Coturnix japonica: one gene and its partners. The protein of the gene in region 1 binds, or shares a complex with, the protein of each later gene. Links are inferred from orthologs where the notes say so. Each region holds a gene or a part of one and is shown in the gene's direction. Other genes may lie near its edges.

Region 1 (5,401 bases):
GTTCAGCTTTTTGTAATTAGACCCATGTATTTACCGAGCTCCTCAAAGTATTTACAGTATTGTGTCTGCTAAGGAACGTCTCCTCTCTGGTGAGTGGGAGGAGGATGTCACTTGCACAAATCTGTTATTTCCTTGAGATTGGATTGCCCTTCTTCTGTGAGCTCTGTGTTGATGGCTGAAATAAATAGCGGAGTGGGTGGATTTTAGTCACTCTGTGGGGAAAAGACGGAAAGGCAGAAAGGTTCTGCTATGGGAACATTGCAACCTGATTGTTACAGTACCACGTTTTCTTTCTTCTGAAGCAAAAATCTGCACTGAGCATCCTGTATGCTGAAGAAGGGTTCAGACAATAGGGGACCCAACCTGTAGTTGATCTATGGTAACCAGTCTGCATATGTACATGATTTCAATCTCCAGATTTCTGCAGTGCATTATAACTCCTAATATATTCAGCACATCAGCTTTCCATATCAAACTGTTACATACCATAACTCAAATCGATGTTCTTTTTCTAAAGTTCATAAGGACAATTGTTACTAAATCTAGGGTGATTTCAATGTATTTCTTCACGTTCTTCAGCACAGTATTTCTTCAGTACCCTTCAGAAACAAAGCTGCCTTCAAAGTAATTATGACCTGAATATGGCCTTAAAAGCCAGTAATTAAAGCTGGACTAATTGCTTGGTTTCAATTGTTCAGAGAAATTTTGGAGCGGGTTTTGTAAATACTTTGACTTGGCCAAAGCTGGTAATGGGACGTCATGTCAGACTGCATTACAGTGAGCAGCTTCACCTCGGAGAATGTAAATGTCCTTTCCCTGAGAGTTCAGAGCACGCTCATAGGTTTCACAAGGACAGACTTAAAGATCTGGTAGTTTGTTCAGGAGTCTTAACCGGGAGTGCTTTAAAATTTGCCTGCTTTGCTTTTGATGTGAGTGTATCTTTACAGCAGTGATGGTAAAGCTAACATGGGTGTTATATTCTGTGTTTTACTTTCAGCAGTGCAAAACGTTATTTTCTCTTGCATCTAATTCTAATTGGATAAACAAATGAAATGATTTGGGCAACTGATATGAAGCTGTTTGAGTACTCCTCTAATAAAATGAAATGGAATTGAGACCGGGGAGTTCACAGCTGAGTTCAGCTATGAACATTAAGAATTGGTTGGCATCCCATTTGGGGAGATCAGGAGGAAAATGGCATTGTCAGAGGGAGTAGAATAAAACTGCTTTCTTTACGGTTGGTGTTTTTTTTAAGGGACTGGAGGCAATAGAGTATCTTTGTGTTACAGTTTCCCAATTGGAGTCAGGATTCTGCTGTAGGCTGTGGGTCATTTGGTTTGGGGTAAATTCCGTGCTACCAGAGGTTATCCTATAAATGGTTGCACAGCTGGAGTTCTCTAGGTGAGCACCCGTAATTTTGAGCTTATCCACATTCTTCTTTAGACAGCACTGCTGTGTTCTCAGTAGCTTAGTAAATCAGCTGTCTCAAGGCAGCCCTTTGGAATAATGTCTGCATGCCTTCCTAAAACACATACTTCTTCCTTTTGCAGGGACATTCCTGTAGACTTCAAGTATATTGCTGAGCCAAGTATGCATTCGATGCCAGCCGTGACTTTGTCTCCAAATGGTGGGTTAACAACTTCACTGCCTTCTCAGGCCGAGCTGACATGAAATGTCTCACTGATGATAGCTCTGTAATATTACCATCTTGTACTTCCCTGCTGCCCCTACAACCCCACCTTCCCAAAGACGTGTGTGCCTTTATTCCAAGATCAGACCGAATCTGGATTTAATAGTTTTGAGAAGACCAAATACGTCAAAATGAAGGGTTGTTACAGCATAGCTGTATCAGTTTAAAACGAGTGCAGCACAAATAGCATTTGCTCAGGAGAAACTCTGAGTTACCTCAGTGTTACTGTATGTTAATGCTTCCTTGGTGTTTATGTTCTTTGGTAACAACCAGACTGCAGGAGGACACGGGCTAAACGCCTCCAGCAGTAAGTGAAAAATCCCTCTAATAGGACAAAATCTCTTTTATGTGTGTTGGCCAAAATTCAATAGCTTTATTGCCAACGTTATTGAAGTGTTATAGATTTGCAGTTAACAGTCTAATTCGCTGAGCTGTGGCTGATCAACTTGTGTAGCCAGCGCATTCAGCCAGCTATCAGCATCAAATTACAGTTCCTTTGCAGTGTAAATATTTCATCCTTAACAATCGAGGCAGAGCCTTAATATTAAAAGGAAGATTCTGGAGAAAGACAGTGAACGTGAAAATTTTATGGAAGGAAATTTTCAGTTTCCTTCTGAATGCAGATGATTGTAACGGACCTTATAAAAACTAGAAGAGAATAACATGACTGGGGCAAGCACACTATTTATTTCTCTGGGAGGCTGAACTAAACTGTCTAATTCCAAGCTAGAAGCTGGATCAGATTTAAGGACAATCCAGCCCATTTTCTGTCATTGTTCAAATAAGATATGGAAGACAATGATAATATGTAGAGTTCAGGGCAGAAGCCTGTTGTAAACTATTCTGTAATGCATTGCCTTCACTGGATTCTCAGTTAAGAATTAATGCGGTGCCAAGATACAGAGTGAAATTAAAAGTAGAAAAGCCTTTTTATCATATTCCATTATGACACAGACAATTAAATAAGTCTCAAAAATATAAGGATCCTGAAACTCCTTAGTCACAGAATCACACAGAATGATCTGGGTTGGAAGGGACCTCAAGGATCACATAGTTCCAACCCCCCTGCCTGGCAGGGCCACCAAACATACACATTTACTAGATCAGGTTGCCCAGGGCCCCGTCCAACCTGGTCTTGAACACCTCCAAGGACGGGGCATCCANCCCCGTCCAACCTGGTCTTGAACACCTCCAAGGACGGGGCATCCACAACCTCCCTGGGCAGCCTGTTCCAGGGCCTAACCACTCTCCTAGTAAAGAAGTCCAGGTGACCATCTTAGGGTACCCACAAAAAAGGTTATCAAATAGATTACCTGTTGTTGTTTGTTTTTCCCTTCATCTGAATTACGTGATTGAGAGTTTATAATATCTGCACCAGAAAAACTTACTCAGTAGCTTAAAAAGGGATCAATTCATTAGTGCGGTTAACATAACAGGCAGAGCTTTTTAGAGTTCTCAGTGCATTTTGTAGGAACAGGCATCCCAAATCTTGTCAAGTATAGTTTTCTGCCTTCTGACAGTTATAACAGGTGGAAGTTGGGTTGGCCATCTTCCAGACCTTGTGATTCTGTGAAGTAATATCAGCTTCTACCAAGAAACTTTATTACATGATAAGATAGATTAGATTTAGGTTGGATATAAGGAAAAAATTGTTACTGTGAGGATTGCAAGGCACTGGAACAGGTTGCCCAGAGATGTGGTTGATGCCCCATCCCCGGTGACTTTAAAGGCCAAAATGGATCAGGTCCTGGGGAACCTGATCTAGCTATGGATGTCCCTGTTCACTGCAGGGGAGTTGGACTGGATGTCATTTAAAGGCCCCTTCCAACTCTAAGGATTCTGTGATTCTGTATTGAAAATCTGAATTAACACAGTGCATAAAAATTTGTGTGTGTCCCAAGCTTTCCAGCCAAGACTCTTTCTTTGTATGTGGCACTCTGTCAACTCCTCTTTCATTGCACTTCTAGGGAAATGGTTGGCTTGCCAGTCAATGGACAACCAAATTCTGATATTTGGAGCTCAGAACAGATTCAGATTGAACAAAAAGAAGATCTTCAAAGGTCACATGGTAGCTGGCTATGCTTGTCAAGTGGATTTTTCACCTGATATGAGGTGAGTTTTGTGGGAAAGGGCTTCATCTTAAACTCACAAGCACAGACACCAGATTTCTTTTTCAATCCTCTGCAACATTCATTGATGCACAGCCATCCTACTAACTCAGTAATAGGACAGAGCTCTCTAAGATGAGCAGAAGAAATTAAAGTTTGCTCTTCTTGTTTGACTGGACTAAGTATATTCAACAATTGCTATAAGAAACAGGTAAAAAGCAGCCAGCGTAGTCCAGATTCCCCATTCTCTAAAGACTTACTTTGCTGTGTTTAAGTATCCTGAGATTGCCCTTATTTTGCCCAGCCCTGGTGCAGCACAGACCTGCATCTGACTGTTTGCATTCAGTCAGCAGCAGCCTCCCCAGAGCCCTTCAGGCTCTGTTCCCACCATATGAACCTGTCTGGAACACCTGGAATTCAGATCTGCCTGCTTTTTCTTATTCAGAGGTCTGGTGTGCTGTATCCTCATTTAGCTGTTCAGAGATCTATCTTTTTCATCCTGTTTCCTTGGTAACCTGCCCATATGTTTACCACTGTATGTACATAAGCTATGCATTGCTATAAAAAGTGGAGAATAACCTCAGCAAAACGGGAGGAAAAAAGCAGAGAGAATGTCTATAACTTGCAGATGAACTTCTGGCACTTTCATCTTTTCCCAACGTGTTCTCTTCAGTCCCGGTAACACTGTGTGGGTGTAATCACATTGGTTAGCACATTTACCTCACAGCTGATGCATCACCTTCTGCAGGACTAGGTGTGCCTCAGAGCACAGCATGAATGCCAGTTCTCTGGCAGAGAAGATTTCAGACTGTCAGGTTGGGGAGGCTCACTGGGTGAAGCTCTATTCCATTTTTCAATATAAAGTGTTAGAATGCAAGTTTTATTTTAATCCCTTTATTGCAGCTACGTGATATCTGGAGACGCAGATGGAAAGCTTAACATCTGGGACTGGAAGACCACAAAACTCTACAGCAGAATAAAAGCACACGATAAAGTCTGCATTGGCGCGGTCTGGCATCCGCATGAAACTTCCAAAGTCATCACGTGCGGCTGGGATGGTCTCATTAAACTGTGGGATTAAAGAAGCTGCTGCAAGGATCTGAAGTTGTAAGCCCTGAGATCTGAGGTTGCAGTGAATTCTGCTGTAAGGACAGGTAGACGTGTTGTCATACAGCTGTTCGCGGCTGGCTGTATATATGCTCTGAGAGTGGAAAACCTTCAGAATGCTTGACTCAAAGGATAGTGTTCTAAACGCACCATCTGGCTGTGAGGATCTGCAGCGTACAGCATCAAGTCTTGGTTTGTCCTGTCACCTTCTGCACAAAATACTCTTGTAAAATAAAACAGATTTAAGAAAAACTATTTTTGTGGCTCTGGCTGTCAGAGAGGTGGGGAGTTCAAGGAGAAAACCAGCAACTGTGTCATCTTCTTCCTAAGAAGAAATCTTTGGTACCTGCTGTGACAGAGCTGGAAGTCGAGCATTTGTTTATGTTCCTTGGATGGCATTTTATTCTCCCTAAAATACTTCTACCTTTCTAGAACACAAAATCAGTTGCCTATGATGTCTGATAATTCACAGTAGAAATGAAGAACTGATCAGAAG
Region 2 (5,966 bases), on another chromosome or scaffold:
TTACAGCCTTTCTCTGTTGATTGACTAAGTACATGACTCCTGTGGCCAAAGCAGGCATGTTCTGTTGATGGATTTGCCAGCAGCTGCCAGCTTAGAGGAGGGTAATACATTCTGATCTTGAGGCAGGAGGGGCTGTGAGTGCCCTGGAAAAAGAGCAATGCCGCCAACCAGAGCAATTGTTCTAGTGAGGCATGTTCAGCCTGTGGGCTGTAAATTGAGCATCCCTCTTACTTCATGTCATAATAAATCTCTAAGAACAATAGATTTAGAACTCTGCTGACCCAGTTCTTTTGTTTACTGTTTTGCAGCGTTATTGCCTTCAGAAAAGCCAATAAGGTAGGAGTTTTCATCAAGGTTACCCCGCAAAAAGAGGAGGGCGAAGTGACCGTGAGCTTTAAGATGAAGCATGAGTTTAAAAACCTTGCTGCTCCAATCCGGCCCAGTGAGGAATGCGATCAGGTCTCAGAGGTCATCTGGCTCACCCACCACGTTGAGCTCAGCCTCGGTCCAGTGCTCCCCTAAAAGCTTCCAGCGTTTGTGTCCCCATGGCTGGCCACAGGATGGACTGTCAGTGAAAGAATGCACCCTGGTGAAACCTTCTGTGAAAGCTCCTGTGTGATGTGTGGGTGTGTGCCGCAGGCTGCAGCCAGGCCATCAGGAGGAGGCTGCGTGGGTGAGGGTGCTGTGCTTTGGGATGGTTTGTTCTCTTTTCTTATCGTAGTGCCCACTGACTAAAGCTCTGCTTCCCCACACTGCCACAGGCTGGTTTAACTCTCAGCATGTGTTTCAGCACGCAGATAGAGATCTAGCTTTCTCCAGATTCACACCACTCCTGGCTGAATTTGGCTTTAGCAACAAAAAAGAAACCCTAATTGTTTTTCTTCTTCTTTCATGTCAGCCCACGAACCTAATGTTACACACACAAAAGTGAACTTATTCCCCACACGGAGCTATGCCCAAGCAACCATTTTAGGAGGTGGCAGTGCCTGCTGCATTACTGACAAGTCTGTTGCTGCAGCATGATGCTTTCTTTCCTTTGTCTTTTGCTTCCTGTTAGGATACCTCAAATAAATGTGGGGCACTCAGATGTACAACTCGTTATGTTCTTGTGGGGAGGGGGGAGGGTAAAAACACTCTGGCATATGTAGTTTCCTTAGCCAAAGTGATAAATCTTTTCACAAAGGAAATGATCACTTTGTCTTCAGTCTCAAAACGTGATATACTGCAGTGTTCACGGATCTGAGTGGCCGCCAACCGCACTGTAGGCTCGTTGTGTTGCAAGGTGGATGTGGTAGTGTGAATTGTTAGAAGCTGGGAAGTCCCATTGTGCTACGTTTCTTTACTGAGGTGAGAGTGGTCCTGAGAGGCTGCCTGTCAGTCTTTGTGTTAATAAATGTGTGTTAATAGGGATATAGCAATCAGTACTAAGCTCAGAGCATTGAGATTAGTTCTAGCATACTAAAAAACTACAGGGGCTGTCCAAGTTCATACTGTCTTTTCCAGCTGTGGGGTTGGGGGTATAAAGGAAGAAAGGCTGTTATACTGTAACTAGCATACACTGTACTGCTGTTTATATATATATATATATATATATGGGGTGTAATTCGGCCATAGTCCAAACTGCAACTTTAATTAAGAGTGTATGCAGGATACTGAATGCCAGTTCACTGCAAGTGGGTGAGACTGCTTGTCCTTGGGAGGCTTTAGTTTCATTCCCAGTTCAATGTTTACTTTCATTACCCGTTTCTGATGGGCTTTGATGTGCTGGCTTAGGGTGAAGTTAGTGAGTCAGCCAAGGCCGGCTTTGAGCTTCAAATCCTTATGTGGGATGGGAGGGATAAGGCCACATTGCAAACCGAGCAGCCTTAGTGCCCCTCAAAGGGAAGCACCCACCTCACAGCCCTGCTCCTGCAGCACCTCCCAGAGCAGCAAGTCAGCACGTTTACAACGCCTGGGTTGCACACAGGTGCACAGCATGAGCTGAAGAAGTGTACTTTGTATTTATTTATGTATAACGCTAGTGTCTGCTGCTGTTTTACCTTCCGGATAACAAAACACTTAAGCCTTGGCCATGAGTTCTCTCCTTAGCCAAACTAGTAACACTACTACCTATGGAAGCAGCTATTGGGACGCTGATGGAGCCCTGTGGCTGCAGCTCCCGGTTGGGCCGGGTTTGTCCCCTTTAGGTGCTTGTAGGCGATAGGAATTGCCGTCAGCTCTGTCTGTCCGTCTGTCCGTCCTTTCTCCCGGGGCTCAGGAGTTCTCGGTGTTAATGACAGGCGGCTGTTTGCCTTATTGCTTATAACTTCATGTAGTAACCTTCAATAAAGCGACCTTGGCTCTCAGGCTCTGCGCTGTTATTTACACCGCCGTTAGTGGGGAAATAGTGATAATTAGAACATAAAGAGCTGAGCACCCCCCAATGCTTTTGTCCCTATTGCCATTCATTCCGCCACTCCGGCTCAACTCTATGGTTAGCAGAGCCTAGAGCGCCCCCGCCGCTCTTCCTGCACGGAAGTGCCATCCCGCAGCGGAAGTGACATCACTTCCGGGTCCCGCCGCCTGCCGGGATCGAGGCGGAGGGGCCGCCATGTCGACATCGCTGGGCTCCAACACTTACAACAGGCAGAACTGGGAGGATGCGGTGAGTGGGACGGGATCCGGCCGGCAGTGCAGTGCCGTGATCTGTATGGGGGCTGTGCTCTGGATGGGGGCTGGGAGCTGCATGGGGGCTGGGCCGGCGCCATGGGGCACTCAGGGCTGGGGGTGGCCTGTGTGTGTGTGTGTGAGGTGTGTGAGGTGGGTGTTAGAACGGGCCTGGCTGCTGTGCTGCCATCATTATAATAAGGATAAGGGAACAAGGGAACAAGGACGTGGGCTGCAGCTGCTCACACGGCCTCTATGAGCAGATTCTGTTGGCTCCTTGCTCAGTCAGGCTGGGTTTGCTCGGCAGGGTGGATGCCCCGTCCTTGGAGGTGTTCAAGGCCAGATTGGACGGGGCCCTGGGCAACCTGATCTATAAAGGTGTATGTTTGTTGGCCCTGCCAGGCAGGGGGGTTGGAACTACATGATCCTTGAGGTCCCTTCCAACCCGGGTCATTCTGTGATTCAGGGTGAGCACTGAGGGCTGATTCCATTGTTATCGTGATGGTTTGGTCGCTCTGTGCACATTTTCCTTCTTTTTCCTCCTCTCAGGACTTCCCCATTCTGTGCCAGACGTGTCTCGGAGAAAACCCATACATTCGCATGGTATGTGCTATGTGCTGCTTGGACAGTGCGGCCCTGTACTCTGTGTTGGGTGCTGATTAACACTGAACTCTTTGCTTCTGAGTGCTCAAGCAAGGGGGGATGCTGAGGACATGTGCATTCCTGGCCATTTGGCCGTGCACTGCAGGGTTCACTTCATGCCTTTGTTAGTGCATCATGTCATGGTGGTCGGTGCAGGTTTATAACAATAACTCAGTCAAAAAGCTGAGCAGGATGTCACGCTGTAATGTCTGCAGTGCAGGAAATACCAGTAAAGCTTTGATACCAGTAAGTCGTGTGACGTGGGAAGCAACGAGCTGCTGGGATATTAAATAGATGAGCACCATTTCTAACGTGCATAACATGAAAATGAACCTGAACTGTCATACAAAGGCTGCTGGCAGCAATTTCAGTGCTGTTTTGTTGACTTTGGTTTCATCTGCCCCAGATGAGTCAGGCCATTCCATGTTCCTTTTCTCAGTGCTCAGCCCAATTATGCCATACCTGCAGATTATCTTTGCCTCACATTTCCTTTCCCCAAGTTTGCTGAGAGCTGTTATGTTTTTATGAAGCATGACACGATTGTCAGCATAGATATGTAAAAAATGGCTTGTTTTGGTGCATTTGTTTTATGCAGTTGCATCATCTTCGCTTAAAAATAGCTACTAATGACCTGTTTCATGATCATTTCTCTATGGTACGTGAAGTTGGGCTCATAATACTTTGTTTTAATGGGTGCTTCTAAAACAGAAAACAGGTTGAGAGTTTCTTAGATCTTTGTGGTCCTCTTTGCCAGGCAAGGGGAGATTCTGCTTAAGCACCAAAAGTAGAGGTGAGCCAGTCTACATGTACTATAATAAGAACAGGATCACTGTGCTGTAAGTTCAATGGTACGTTTCATCATTCACAATGTTTTAATATCTCATGTTTTCTCTCCCTTCTTATTTATTATATTTCAGACCAAAGAGAAATATGGAAAAGAATGCAAGGTACGTTGGTTGTCTTTTGAAGAACGAGCTTCTGTATTGGTGAACATCTGGCTGTAATGTGGGTTTTGGTTCTCAAAAGATCTGCTGGCGTCACGAAAGAGTTTATCTTGGCTGAGAGCTTAATGCACACATAACTGCATGGAATGTGAGGTGTATCATCTCCATGTTCATTGTTCTTGAGCTGTAAAAGGTTGTTCTAACGGAGTTAAGATTTGCTCACGTTTATGAGAATTATTAGGTTTTGCTCGAGTATCTTATATTTCCTGTTGCAAGTTTGTTTTTACTGCTATGTGATGTGTAAGTAACAACAGTTTTGGTTTTGCTCTGAATCTGCTGTTTTTTGCCAGCTATCAATTAGTGTTAGTTATTGTATGAAATAAGACAGGTTTGTAACTGAGAGAGCAGGAATTATTTAGCTTTTACTTGACTTGATTTGTCCCTCTGCCCCCTTTATCAGTTGTCACCTGAGGCACAGACAAGGTATGTGCTGAGATCTTGCTTCTGCTCCTCAAATGTGCAGCAGAAGCAGATGCATCTTTCCAACACATAACAAATGGGGCAGTACTTTTTTATCAATAAGCTCTCATTGGGCTTGCTGCTGTTTCAGTGACTGCTCAATTTACACGTAATTGGTAATTTGTCTCTAATAGCTCCACGCTGGAGCTATTATATTCCATCTGGAATAAAAAATGAATCCTTTGAGTAGATCTGCTTTCAGCATTCAGGTTACTTTAATAACTCCAGACCTTCCCAAAGCTTCCTCCTGTCACAGTATGGCAGCAAATAGCAATCAGTATTATCCGGAGCTCTTGAACTTTTTTGCCTAGAACTTTAAGATGATGCAGTTGGACTTAGATTTCAGGGAGGCTGGGCGTGTTTGAGTTGTACGCTTCTATGCAGGAACTCGAGCGGCATCTTGGCTGTGCTGTGATAGCAGTTCACTTGTCTACTTTGTGTCTTTCAGATTTGTGCCAGGCCTTTCACAGTGTTTCGCTGGTGTCCTGGTGTTCGTATGCGTTTCAAGAAAACAGAAGTGTGCCAAACCTGCAGCAAGTTGAAGAATGTCTGTCAAACCTGTCTGCTTGACCTGGAATATGGTGTGTACCAAAGAGGGGAAACTAAGAGAAGCAGCAGTTCTGCTTCTGAAGTGAAAGCTTCTTTAAATGTGTGTGTGAAACTGGCGTAGTTGTTTCCAGACAGACTCAGAACAAGTCTTTGTGATCAGATCTCTTCTGAGATTCAGGGGCAGCTTGTGCAGGAGACAAGTTATCTCTGCTTAATGTGAGTTCTAGCAACTGGTTTTTTGCTCTTTCAGCTTGTGCTTCATAGGGTTTTTTTGTTTGTTTAATTCTAGGTTTGCCTATTCAAGTCCGGGATGCAGGACTGTCCCTTAAGGATGAAATGCCTAAATCTGATGTCAATAAAGAGTATTACACCCAGAACATGGAACGAGAGGTAAGAAAGTGTCTTTATGATCTCTGTGTATGGATGTGTACGGGGGAGGGAGGGAGTCAAACACTTTCTTTGAAAAAGAATGACCCACATCATCTTAATATCTGTGTTTATTTTCATTCTGCATTACATGTCAGTATTGAGAGATATATTTATAATAACTTGCCTGCCTTTTAACTGCTGTATAGATAGCCAACTCTGATGGCACTAGACCAGTTGGTGCACTAGGAAAAGCAACTTCTACCAGTGACATGCTGCTGAAACTGGCTCGGACCACTC
Region 3 (5,523 bases), on another chromosome or scaffold:
CTGAGCGACCAGTTCTTTCTGAGGGATGTTGGTTTTTCTTCTGTACTTGGGCCTGTTTCATGTGCAAGCTTGTCTAACTTTCTGTAAATAATCAGATTTAAAAGCTTTTGGCAGACTCTCCACAAAACTTGTGCATGCTTAACATTTGGAGTGTGCTGCTTACCCAAGAGGAGGCAGAGGAATGTTTCCTTTACCTCTTTGGTCTGGGCTGATGCTGACTTCATAAATGATTGCATGGGGCTTCTTCTGATGCATAAGCAACATACGTGAATTACATTTCCTCTGAGCATTTCTAACCTATGTCTGAAGCAGAACACTGAAAGAGACACTGACAATCCACTCTGTGCTTCTCTTACTTTTTAGCACCCTGTCTAAATGCGGCCATGCTGCAGTTGCAATACTTTATCCCTTCACTTGGCAACACACGTACATTCCAGTGCTACCAACTTCTATGATTGATATCGTGTGCTCTCCGACTCCATTCTTAATTGGCATTCTCTCCTGCTCATTACCACAGCTCCAAGACCTGCCTGTAGAAGAGGTGAGAACTGGGCAAAACACTGAAGAGGGATAATTGCAGTTTTAGGTTGAGTTCCTTGGAAGAATCTCTGTGGATTCTGTCTTAATGTAAAGCCTTAAACCTTTCTGAGGCAGTTTTTAACTTGCAAGATACATGCCAGCACATTTCTTTGCCTTCAAAGATAAATAATATTGTCTGTTCTTATAGACAGGCTGAAGTTACACAAAACTTGTGATTTGTGTTGTGTGACATCCCCTACCCCTGGGGACAAACGAAATGTTATATATAAAGTTATAGTCCTTTTCCTTCTGCATGGCAACATAGAGCTAATATTTTTGTCTGTATTTCCCCAGGTTCTGATTGTTGATCTTTGTGCTGACAAGTTTTTGCAAGAGGTGAGTGAAAGAGTGAGATTACAGCATGAGTTACTCTTGGTGGTGTTATATGCCAAGAATAGGCATCTACCAACGTAGGCAAGAAATCAGTTAAACCTCGTTTATATCTGTAGGCTGAAGAAATATCTTGCATTCCTTTTTCATCACTAGATAAGGGAACAGATTAGTTGCAAGGCTGTGGTTTCTCATCAGTTTCTGTTGAATATGTTTGATGCAAAAAGCTTTCATGGTCACTTTTCTGTTCAGGTATCAGATGAAGAAGAAATTCTGCCTCATAAACTCCAGGCTGCACTTGTCCAAATTTTGGAGGAGAGAAATGAAATCTTGTCACATGAGCAGAGCTGCCTACAAGGTACACCTATGGAAAAGCATCTGGCGCTCTTCTTTTAGATGACCCTCTCAATGATGACTCATATTAGAGGGATGTTTCTCCTCACAGGTGATGTCCCTCTTAACTCCCTGGTCTCTGAAGCTTTCGTGCACTTCTTTGTGGAGATCGTGGGTCACTATTCCCTGCACATGAATGTCACAGAGAAAGGAGAGCGGGTGTTCCAGCGGGAGCCATTCCGTAAATCCCACACGTCGCGCAACGTGCGCCATTTCCTGCACTTCTTCATGGAGACGCAGATGTTTGCAGGGTTCATACAGGATCGAGAGCTACGTAAGAGTGCTGTCAAAGGTGAGGCTTTCTTGTTTTACAAAATTCCACATCTCTCATATCTTTAACTCTTACAAAGCCTTTTTGCCCCAGCAGTATTTCCTATTGGCGTATGTTAATAGCTCCATGCCCTTCTAATTATTCAGTAATCTTATTAAGCAGAAGATGCCTTTGTCTCCTGCCTGGCTTCGGTCCTGTGGCCTTACACACACAATGTTAACGCCTGAGGATCTCATCCATCTCTTCTATCTCTTTAGGCCTTTTTGAGGTCCGTGCCTTGGAGTATTTGGAGAGCATCCCCGAGTCTGAGCCCACAGGGATGAACAGAATCCTTCGCACTCTCGGTAAAGAGACACCTCATTTATTTAGCTTATTTCCCTGCAGTATTTCGCTTTGTGCACACATGCTGCTTTCCTTTGCCTCTCCAAGGAGGCTGTGGGAGCCCCATCCCTGCAGGCATTCAAGGCCAGGCTGGATGTGGCTCTGGGCAGCCTGGGCTGCTGGTAGGTGACCCTGCATATAGCAGGGAGTTAGAACTAGATGCATTGTGGCCCTTTTTAACCTTTTTAACCTTTTTAACCCAGGCTGTTCTGTGGTTTTATGTGTGAAACTGTCATTCAGCGTCCAAATGATGCGTCTCGAAGGCTTAACGTGCTTTTTTTCTTGTTGTTTTTCTTTTCTGTAGGAAGTAAGATGAGATTTCTCCAGAAGAAATGAACGTGGAGCCTCAATGAGGCGGTTGGACAACCAACCCCATCCCGGGGCCGGACTCATTGCTCCCTGTGCAGCTGAGGCGGCTCCGTGCCGCCATAACACGCCGCAGTGCCGCAACCAATCAGCGTGTCCTCTCCTCTGTGGGCGGGGCGGGATGAGGGCGGGGCCGCGCCGTGAGTCTAGGCCTGGGGTGTGCGCATGCGCGGTAGTGGTAACCATCATGGCGGGGCCCGGGCTGGTGGCGGGGGACGTGGTGGTGGATGCGCTGCCGTACTTCGATCAGGGATACGAGGCGCCGGGCGTGCGGGAGGCGGTGAGTGCGGGCCGGGTCGGGCCGAGCCGGGTTGGGCTGGGCTGAGCTGAGCTGAGGCGGTGCGATCCCGGCTAGGCTGCGGCTCTGGTGGAGGAGGAGACGCGGCGCTACCGGCCCACGAAGAACTACCTGAGCTACCTGCCGGCACACGACTGCAGCGCCTTCGAGGTGAGCCAACACGGCCAGCCGCCCCTCAGTGCCCCTCATTGCCCCTCATTGACCCTCATTGACCCTCAGTGCCCCTCAGTGCCCCTCAGTGCCCCTCATTGCCCCTCAGTGCCCCTCATTGCCCCTCAGTGCCCCTCACGGCCCCTCACGGCCCCTCACAACCCCTCATTGACACTCACGGCCCCTTATTGCCCTCTCCCTGCAGACCGAGATCATGCGGAACGAGTTTGAGCGCCTGGCGGCCCGGCAGCCCCTGGAGCTGCTCAGCATGAAGAGGTGAGTGAGGGGGGGCTCCTGGTCTGGCTCTGGGTGGGATCCGAACCGTGCTCCGTTCCAGGTATGAACTACCGGCTCCATCCTCCGGGCAGAAGAACGACATCACGGCGTGGCAGGAGTGTGTTAACAACTCCATGGCGCAGCTGGAGCACCAGGCAGTGCGCATTGAGAACCTGGAGCTGATGTCCCAGCACGGCTGCAACGCCTGGAAGGTGTACAATGAGTAAGGCTGGGGATGGAGAGACAGCATGGGAAATGGTGGTGTGGTGGCTGCAGATAATGCTGTCCTGATCCTCCTCACCTGAAGCCACTGTTGAAATGGCTAAGAAACACATGGAAGTGTGGCTTTGAGAAGCTCTGGGGCTGTTTCAGACAGCTGCTTGCCTTTAGTGGATGGCTGCATGCTGGGCTCTTCTAGGAGGGTTATATGTGAGGCTGGTTAAATTGATCTTATTTAGTAACTGTGTGTTTTTTCTCTTGCTTTGCTTCCATTCTGCTCTCAGACACCTGGTTCATATGATAGAACAAGCCCAGAAGGAGCTTCAGAGGTTGCGGTGAGTGGTTTTTCATAGCTCTATACAGAGGTTGGAAGGGATATAGAAACTCCTACTTTGGGGTAGGAGCTTCCAGGGCAGCCAATTTCAAACTGCATTCATGAGTAAATGAGATGAAGGAGGACAAGACCAACACAGGTCTCTTCATGTTGTTTTTTTCCCCTCAGGAAAAGCATTCAGGATCTGAACTGGCAACGAAAGAACATGCAGCTGACAGCAGGAGCGAAGCTACGAGAGATGGAATCCACGTGAGTAGCTGGGATTTATTCTAACACCCCCTTACGGGGAACAGTGCTGTCATAGCAAACCATCACACGGCTGCTATTGGTTTGCACAGGGTGCTTTAGAGGGTGCATGGTTCAGCTCCGTGTTGATGGTTTTTAGCCCTTTTTTCCTTACAACGTTTCATTTCCTGCATTATACATTGAGGTTTAATAGTTGGAAGCATCTTGTAACCTTGTTCAGGTTGCTCCTGCTGTCAGCTGAGCTGTGTTGGGGCTGATGTTGGTGTTGTGCTTTGTTATGGCAAACACCTTAATGCTCTATGAATCATTCCCTTGCAGCTGGGTGTCCCTTGTCAGTAAGAACTACGAGATTGAACGGACCATTGTACAGCTGGAGAACGAGATATCCCAGATCAAACAGCAGCACGGGGAGGCCAACAAGGAGAACATCCAGCAGGACTTCTGAACGCTGCTCCCTCCTGAACTCCGTGTTTGTACGTTTCCTACGGCGCTGTAATAAACTGCTTTGCCCAATAAAGGCTGCTTATCTCCCCTCCTGGCTGATAAGGGCTGTTCAGCGCCGGGCTTATCAGCAGCTTATCAGCAGCGCTGCGACTTGTGGCTGCGGCCTCCACCCGCGTGGGGGCGCTCGCGGCCGGTCGGTAATTGCGTTTGAGAGGTGTGGGCGGCGCTCTATCCGGCGGTGCGTCACGTGACGTCACGTCTCGTCTGTCCACGCCTGCGCGCGCCCCCGCCCCGCCCTCCCGCCGTGGAGCGCGCACGTCGCGTGGTGACGCAGTGCGTGAGCGGAGCGGGGAGTTGGGTTCAAAGGAGGAAACATGGCGGAAAACAAAGGAGGCGGCGGCGGCGGGGAGGGGGCGGCCGAGCCCGGGCCGGGCGGAGCCGGCTCCATTGAGCCCGCGGCCGCGTCCCCTTCGGCTGCGGCGCCGCCAGCGCCATCCGCGGCGCCTCCGGAGGAGCGGGAGAGCCCCGGAGCGGCACCGGCGGCGGAGCGTGGGCTCGGGGAGGCCGAGGCCGAGGCGGGGCCCGGGGTGGTTCCTGGGCCGGGCCCCAGCCCGGTTCCCCCGCTGACTCCGGCGGCTCCGGGGCCGTTCTCGCTGCTGGACACCTGCGCCGTGTGCGCGCAGAGCCTGCAGAGCCGGCGCGAGGCCGAGCCCAAACTGCTGCCGTGCCTGCACTCCTTCTGCCGCCGCTGTCTGCCCGAGCCCGAGCGGCAGCTCAGCGTGCCCGTACCCGGCGGAGCCAACGGCGACGTGCAGCAAGGTGAGCGGGGCGGCGGGCGCGATACCGGGCTGTGCCGTGTCTCCTGCCGGGGCTGTGTCCGTGACCGCCGGCATTGCGGTGCCGCCATCCCCCGGGCTCTGCTTCCCGGCTGTGGCAGCCGCTCTCTCGTGTCGCCGTTCCACGTGAAGCCGGAGCTCGCACGTCCATGTGCTCGCTGGGGATGGCGGTGTGGATGGCGTCGTGCTGCTTGTTTTGGCTTCCAGGGCTGCAGCGTTAGGGCCGTGGTGCTGCCGGGTGTTGAGCCGTCCGGGGGTGGGACACGCGGGTACATTCTGCGCTATGGAAGGAGGTTGGACTCAGCCCGTGGCCGGCAGGACTGTGCTCGGTGACACCTGTTTGGCTTTGGGAGGGCTCCTCTCTGTATCGTTTTGATGTGTCGTCACACGGCCCACAAGG

What was found.
Region 2: CDC40 (region 1) and RBM22 share a complex: the UniProt entries of both Homo sapiens proteins name them as parts of the postcatalytic spliceosome P complex. The link is inferred for Coturnix japonica from reciprocal best matches to the Homo sapiens genes CDC40 and RBM22.
Region 3: CDC40 (region 1) and BCAS2 share a complex: the UniProt entries of both Homo sapiens proteins name them as parts of the postcatalytic spliceosome P complex. The link is inferred for Coturnix japonica from reciprocal best matches to the Homo sapiens genes CDC40 and BCAS2.

Annotation. Positions count from the first base shown.
Region 1 is NC_029518.1:60,609,237-60,614,637, reverse strand, and holds part of CDC40 (pre-mRNA-processing factor 17), read left to right. Parts: intron 1-1,550; coding exon 1,551-1,627; intron 1,628-3,657; coding exon 3,658-3,802; intron 3,803-4,701; coding exon 4,702-4,879; 3' UTR 4,880-5,401. UniProt on the Homo sapiens protein: Required for pre-mRNA splicing as component of the activated spliceosome. Plays an important role in embryonic brain development; this function does not require proline isomerization.
Region 2 is NC_029528.1:4,991,285-4,997,250, reverse strand, and holds the start of RBM22 (pre-mRNA-splicing factor RBM22), read left to right. Parts: upstream 1-2,519; 5' UTR 2,520-2,590; coding exon 2,591-2,644; intron 2,645-3,195; coding exon 3,196-3,249; intron 3,250-4,205; coding exon 4,206-4,235; intron 4,236-5,199; coding exon 5,200-5,332; intron 5,333-5,589; coding exon 5,590-5,690; intron 5,691-5,875; coding exon 5,876-5,966. Other genes in the region: DCTN4 (dynactin subunit 4), read left to right, coding at 309-522. UniProt on the Homo sapiens protein: Required for pre-mRNA splicing as component of the activated spliceosome. Involved in the first step of pre-mRNA splicing.
Region 3 is NC_029541.1:3,876,915-3,882,437, reverse strand, and holds BCAS2 (pre-mRNA-splicing factor SPF27), read left to right. Parts: upstream 1-2,463; 5' UTR 2,464-2,507; coding exon 2,508-2,600; intron 2,601-2,675; coding exon 2,676-2,768; intron 2,769-2,973; coding exon 2,974-3,044; intron 3,045-3,105; coding exon 3,106-3,267; intron 3,268-3,547; coding exon 3,548-3,598; intron 3,599-3,765; coding exon 3,766-3,846; intron 3,847-4,161; coding exon 4,162-4,288; 3' UTR 4,289-4,376; downstream 4,377-5,523. Other genes in the region: DENND2C (DENN domain-containing protein 2C), read left to right, coding at 364-541, 874-915, 1,162-1,267, 1,355-1,594, 1,831-1,917, 2,259-2,290; E3 ubiquitin-protein ligase TRIM33, read left to right, coding at 4,662-5,106. UniProt on the Homo sapiens protein: Required for pre-mRNA splicing as component of the activated spliceosome. Component of the PRP19-CDC5L complex that forms an integral part of the spliceosome and is required for activating pre-mRNA splicing.